Saccharomyces cerevisiae S288C: one gene and its partner. Changing the gene in region 1 together with any one later gene gives a genetic interaction. Each region holds a gene or a part of one and is shown on either strand. Other genes may lie near its edges. The genes, in order: YPR202W and PRP3.

The links.
Region 2: mutations in YPR202W (region 1) and PRP3 together harm fitness more than expected from each alone (negative genetic interaction), as found in Saccharomyces cerevisiae (one large-scale study listed by BioGRID).

The regions. Positions count from the first base shown.
Region 1 is NC_001148.4:940,941-944,441, reverse strand, and holds YPR202W (uncharacterized protein), read right to left. Parts: upstream 1,411-3,501; coding exon 1,392-1,410; intron 1,244-1,391; coding exon 546-1,243; downstream 1-545. Other genes in the region: YPR203W (uncharacterized protein), read right to left, coding at 254-562; ARR3 (Arr3p), read right to left, coding at 3,306-3,501.
Region 2 is NC_001136.10:1,403,945-1,407,968, forward strand, and holds PRP3 (U4/U6-U5 snRNP complex subunit PRP3), read right to left. Parts: upstream 1,911-4,024; coding exon 501-1,910; downstream 1-500. Other genes in the region: TRAPP subunit TRS31, read left to right, coding at 1-229; JIP4 (Jip4p), read right to left, coding at 3,520-4,024.

The DNA of each region.
Region 1 (3,501 bases):
CCTCACCTGCCACTACGTCTTCCGCATTCCGAGTACTAGAGAATGAACAATGGTAGTCGCTTTCAAGGCCTAACCATTGAATCCAGCGCTCGGAAGTGAGTCCGTCAAGCGTCTTTAGTCGAGGCTCCGATGAACCGTTCTTGTTGTATCGTCGACGTATACGTTGCGCTGTAGCTCTGGATAACGGTAAGCGTATCACCGTAAGCTCGTCAATTATTTTTGAGAGCCGCGGTCATTTTGTTAGTATCTCTTCTCAACTTGGGCAGCACACATGCAAAACATCACCCAATCGGTCCTTTTTGTTCATCATATCGTTACATATCTGTGAAAAGTACTTTATCTCAATGGGTTTACGTGGGCATAGATCACGCTTCAGCCGCTCTGTGTCGACTTTCTTTTCGCCAGGTAAACTTGCTTGGTATGCAGAAAAAATCGATAGCTCATCTACGTGTAGTAACAAAAACATGTGGGGTGCCAAATTGTACCCATATTTCCTTATGGTGCTTTTCTGAAGACTCCTTACAATAGGTGCGCCAGAAACAAAGTCAGTGAAAGTACGCATCGTAGAGCTGTCGTTCGGCCTGGCACTCGCTATTTCGTGACAACGTTCCAGGACACGGAAAACTCAACTCATTATAGTATCCTCTGTTGAGGTAAAAAAGAGAAAGGGTATCGTAATCCTTTCTATTGAATTTCAAAGTATGCACTTGAAACAACGTGTAGACCATCAAGTTGATTTTCTTGGGAATAAGATACTTTGAAGGGATTGGTCCGCCCTGGAAATCTGGTTCGTCTTCAACAAATGTCAGGAACTTTTGTACATTTTTCCCGACCATGACGGAAATGACAATTTTTTCAAAAGACCTTTTCCTATCCATTGCACCAGTTCTGAATTTTACCACTTTGATTAGGCCAGACTTTTCGTCTTCGTAGAATGACCGCACTTCCGTGGGGATCGATTCAAATAAAGTTATTGAGGGACAATGTACCAAGTCGTTTTTGTTATTTAGAGCCGACTCAAACTCGTCAAAGTTTGCTTTTTCAAACTTACGCCTATCGGAAACTTTCATTTTATTTTTGTAAGTTTCGAAATTAACAATAGTATGTTGATTGTTATGCTTTTTGACAAGAAATCCATCAATATAAACAAAAGATTGTCCAGTTTCCGTCTTATCATCATCTGAGAATGTAATAATTAAGCTATTGAGAAGATGCAGAATCTGCGCTATGCAGGTGCAAATCTCTAGCAGCAGCAAAGTAAATTCAGTTAGTAAGCAATCTCACTAAGATAAGCGACTGTCTGTCCCCTTCAAGCACAACATAGAAAACAGAAGGATGTCTCATTCATCGCTTGATTTCCGGCCTGCAAAAATAAAGTAGTCGGTACGTACGTTCGTTTTCAATTTCCATGGTGCACAGTATCTTAACTATCTGCTTAGTCGAGGAGAACCAGGATTCTGTTCGTTGCTCAGCCGCTTCGTGGATATTCTCTTGGATACTTTAAACATGGACCTACGCTTAGCCTGCGCTTAGCCTACAACTTCTTCCGCTCTCGAAAAGACCAATATAATAAAAAGTTATAAATTACATTTCCTTATTAGGTATACGACCTCACGCTTCGAAGTAAAGGAGCCTACCACTCTATACCACCACTACCACCACCGCCACTTGCCACACTCACCTTCACTTCTACTGATATGTCATACGCACACGGATGCTACAGTATATACCATCTCAAACTTACCCTACTTTCATATTCCACACCATGGCCCCATTCTCACTAAATCAGTACTAGATGCACTCACATCATTATGCACGGCACTTGCCTCAGCGGTCTATACCCTGTGCCATTCACCCATAAAGCCCATGATTATCCACATTTTAATATCTACATCTCATTTTGCGGTTCCAAATATTGTATAACTGCACCATATACTAACCACTCAATTTATACACACTTATGTCAATATAACCACAAAATCACCACCAAAATCACCTAAACATAAAAATTAACCATTCATTAATGAGAAGATATAAACATACTAAATATTAACATAATTGAAATATCGTAAACATAACACCCTATTCATTAAATTGTCTATTACTTGTGCCATTTACCCATAACATTCATGATCATCCACATTTTAATTTTCTAAAATTGATCACAGAACCTCCATTATCATATCAATACTCTCAACTTCATGCTTTATAACGTTTTCATACAAATTAACCACTATAAGGTATCATAGCTATTTGCATTCTCATCACCTTTCAGTGAATTCCAATTTAATAGCAGAATATACTCGCGCAGCTGCTATGGTGCGTTTTTAATCTCTCCCCACCTTGGTATTCTATAATTATGCATACATGGTCTTGTGGTATCTTTGATATCGAATAGTTTATGCTTGCAATTTCAGCCTAATAATGGCGACATAAGACGTGTCCTCATGTCGCTATTCAAACGCAACTACAAGATCTTCTTACTCCCTATACTCATTCCCGGTGCCACTATATAACACCACTATGCTATACTATAATAGCAATACACATTAACGCAGATGCTATAATATCTTTACTTCATCTCACCAACTCAACTGATAATCATACAGACAGTACTATACAATACAGTCATTTACTAAAACGAATGCCGCTCCATGATATCCCAAACTTATACTGGCACCATTTTGAAACATTATATGTCACCTCTTCATCCTAATGACTTCAACTTCATGCATTATAAAATGGCAGCTACACGTACTTATGCGGGTACTACGACATAAGCTTATCTTGTCCTATTTCGTTACGTTAATTTTAATTAGACACTAGATGCACGAATTCCATTTTTATGCGAATGATCTATGAAGCCATTGTTGTACCATCACCATGTGCTATTCCATCGGGCTTACAATACTTGGGTTTAAAGCATTACTAATCTTGCAGGAAAATCTCAAAAATGACATACAATACGCAATAATAATTTTTCAGCGAGTTTCTAATTCAAAGACATTGTATTTAGAAGTGATGTACGTAACACAGTTTGCCACTTGAGTTCATTAGACTTTCAAAAATGCAATAGTAAGATTACGTCCCCTTCTTACTGAACTCCAAAACTGTGCGGAGTTTTTGAATGATGCGGGATGGCGTGAACAAACCCATTTTTTCATCCTAACCATCACTAAGATCAATCAGTTGTCCTTCAAAAAAAATTGTCAATTTTATCTGTTTTTAGGGTGAACTTGGATTAATATAGAGTTATAAGTGGTATTATTCATTGGTGCCCAAGTAATTTTTTGGTGAGTCAACAATTAATTTCTATTGTTCCATATATAATATGGTTTAAGGATCCTCGCGACTATTGCCAAAATCAATAAAATTGGAACTTCTAGCAACGGCCCAAATGTTGCAGCTATTGCTTGCTTGCTATTGTTACCATATAAGGAAATAGCAATTGCCAGGGATAGTTCAAAATTATTTGAAGCCATAGTGAAACATTGCGTCATC
Region 2 (4,024 bases), on another chromosome or scaffold:
ATATATGATAGTAGATAACTTCCCCACTTTAACCCAATTTATCCCAGGTGAGAACGTTTCTTGTGAGTACTTCGTTTGCGGCATTATCAAAGGATTCCTTTTCAATGCTGGATTTCCATGTGGCGTGACAGCACATCGAATGCCCCAAGGCGGACATAGTCAACGAACCGTTTATTTGATCCAATTTGACAGGCAAGTGCTTGACAGGGAAGGTTTGAGATTTGGCTGATATCATCTCAAAACATCGGTAAATACCTAAAACCAAGAAAAGGATAAAGAGTTTGTATATTTACTGTTGATTTATAGACATATGCTCATATATTCATTACGAAGAATGATTCTTTTAATTGTCGATTTCCTTGAAGTACATCTATCATATAAAATCATTTTCTTTTTATATTTTGGAATGTTTTTGTGCTAAAAAAATCATTATTCTGGGCGACATACAGTAAAATAATATTTAATATGAAACAAAGCGTATCATTTTGTAGACACCGATATCACGTTTGAACAGGTGAATAAAAATGCTCTGAATCAAACTGACCCAGCGTACGTAATAAAGAATCCTGATCATTGCATACTTTCATAAACCAGCCTTTGAATTTACAATCTTGTAAATAGCCTTCCCAAGTTTTTGATATTGAATTATTATGCATGTCCATTTTTATATCCCCAGTGTTTGTGTGCAACTCAAAATCTTCATTCCATTTTATCCTCTTCATCACCAAATTCTCATAAAATTTGCATGATTTTTCGTTACCCACGACTATAATTATTCCTGGTCCGTCATCACGTATACGGAGGCATAAACCCTTTAGTGATAGTTCTTTACTATTCATTTTCAACTTGAATCTTATTTTTGGGTTCTGTAAGTTTTTGAACTGGAACACCTTACAATGGTATACTGTCGGCTTTTCAACGTTCATATTGACTGCTTCTTTCCTTCTTTTAATAGCATCTTCATGTCTTCTTTCGTTTTCTTCCAGATGTTTTCTCTTCCTGAGGTCCACTTGGTCTTTCACTACTTTTTCCCAGGCAGTTGGGTCCGTTATGTTTTGATCATTCTCGAAAACACTCATCATGTTGCTTAGTTTAACTTTCGGTTCAGGCTTAGGTAATAGTCCTAACTTAATTTTTATCTCCCGTGCTTCTCTTGCCATTTTCCTTCTATTTCTCCTTAATCTTTTCCTTTCATGTTGCGTTAGATATGCTTTGATTGATACTTTTGCCTCGTTGATCTTTTCAGGTAAGGGATGTGCTACATATCTTATAGATGGGTGCTCATCATCATCATCATCGTCTACTTCATCAATATCTTCTGCTAGCTTTTCTTCGGCAGGCGATGTGCCATTCATGTCATATTTTTCCATCAACTCACCCTTTTCATCTAAATAAGCCGTGTCCCACCATTCATAGCCATGATTATTATCATAGTATATCTTGAACTTTGACAAATCTAATAGGAACTTATCCTCATGTAACTCTAAATTGGGTAAATCACCTGACTCAATTAATTTTCTTTTATCTTTCTCGTCTTCTTCTTGTTTTAACTTTCTTTTTAATTCTTCCTCCTCCTGCTGTTTTTGTAATGTTCTTTCTTGGGCAATTCTTTTACTGATTTCTCCCTTTTGGTAAAACTTCAGACCCCGTTCATAACGCCTGTTAAATCTGCTCGATGAGCCTCGATCGTGTGGATCACTAAGATAGGGATTTTCACCAGTTTGATAAGTTCTTCGGATAAGATTCAAATTTGAAGACTTTAACGCTGAGTGAAGTTCGGTTTTCAGACCATGGCCCTGAAACTTCTCCTCATCATTGGTAGTTTCTTCACGCCGTAAGAAACTTGGCTTATAATATGGACTATTTTGGCGTTTCGGATTACCTTTTTCATAGGTATTTCTTGGGGGCATTTTTTCAAGCCAATTCAATAGATCGCCTGATGTTTTCTGTGAGTCTTTTTGATTGTTTTACGTCATCTGGCATTCTAATACTTTACTAGGACTATTTCTTGTTATTGATCAGTGCGGGATCCAGTCAGAAAAACGCAGATGTGAATAATATTAAAATTTGTATGCTAAAAAAATTAACATAGTCAAGAAACTTTCTTTGAGTCATGGCTCTTTACTTTAGAACATATAAGAACAATTCACAGTGCCTGTCCAGAGGCCAAAAGCAGTATCTCTAGCTAAATGGATATGTTAACTACTGTTTCATTGGAGAAGCAGTTTTTAACCTTCCTGTTTCGCGAATATAGCTGCCAAGTATTATCCAAAATTGGGGAGTGAAGAAAAAGTAATTATCAGCATTCATTTTCGAGAATTTTACCTAAACTTTTTCGATAACATTGATTGTTCACTACGTTACATAGCAAGCCAGAGCTAGAAAAACTTATTGATTACAATCAATAGACTTGCATCATACATAACTTCAGGGTACTTGCAAGAATTTTCCTACAAAAAAAGTTGACTACGACAACCTAAAGGAGAACAACAGATTTTGTCACCTCTCGTACTAGATAATTACCAAAAAAATGCTACCGAAAAGGAGATAAAACACATCTAGAACATAGTAGTATCATGTCATGGCTTTTTCAAATCTAAAATCTGTTCCCTGCAGTTGTCATTTTCTCTTAGTCGTCATTGATATTGTTAAAAAGTTCCGGAATACTATTGTTAGGTCGTATTCTTAAATGAATAAGCTGTCAAAAAATGGAGTAGTATGGCAGTAAATTTGGGAAGCACAAAAGAAAAAATAAAATTTCTTGATGAATGTGCCTTTCACGAATGTGACTTCTCTTCCATAAATCCTGTTTCTCATCAATGAGCAGCTTCTTCCTCCAAAGATAACTGTTGAACCCTATAATTGTGACAGGTCAAAGAAGCCAATATAATGAAAAAGATAGCCAGTATCTATATTTGAACCATTTTAAGGATTTCACTGAATTGCAACGATACTGTCTTGTTTCGTGGACCTTGCACTTCGTAGATTCATCATGTTCTATACGTTTTTCATTTCCGCATTCTAAACCCAAAAGACAAGGGTTACAGCGTATGTTACGACACAATTCAATTCACCATTCCTAAGAAGTTAATATTGCAATATTTTTGCAACAATAACAACCGCATTGCTTTGAAAGTAATTGCAATAACTATGGATAAAGATCCATTATCTTGACTGGTGCTACTTTCAAAGGAGGTATACCTAATAATATAAAGCTTTGAAAGAATTGACGTGATACTAACCTTGTACATTGATTCTCATTTTAACGATTTTACAAACTCACTTAGCACGCATTATTGCCGGAAATACGAATAGGAACCCAGCTTATAATGAACACTGTCCACATTTCTTTTAGGTGAGAATGCGATGATGGAATTGCAGCATTATTAATTACTAGTGTAGGGTATTGAATGTCATTTTTGTCGATTAATATGTACAATACATGTTATGCATAAAGGCACAAAGTCATAAAAATGTTATAGAATTATATCGAATAAACACATAAGAACGTAAGACCAACTACAGCCTTCCGAACCCAAACAATCCGCCACGCTTAGGCGTATTTTTACTCTCATCTTCCTTTCTGAAAGATGACGGGGATCTCGATTTACTCTTAAAAAAAGAGAATAAACCACCACCGCCTGAGCTTGGTTTCAAGTGTGCTGAAGTTACGACCGGTTTTTTAATACGTTTACCAGAGTTCGAATCATTAGATTTTACTTTTCTGAGCGAAGATGAGCTACTGACTTTCCTCAAAGATGAATCCTTATTACCAGAACTCACACTATATGACTTTGAAGGTGCCAAATGGGGAAGGCCTGGAACGGACAACTGATCTGTGTCACGATGATGGTGATGATGATGTTGTTGTTGCTGGTCCCCTGGGCTGTCTAGCGAGTGCCTAGATTTAATAGCACCCAGTGCAGCATTACCATCTACATTCTTGACACTCGACGCGAACTTGATTTGCGGAGAACGTGATCTCGACGCACTCGCACTTGAGTTTATATCGGTAGCAGTAGGA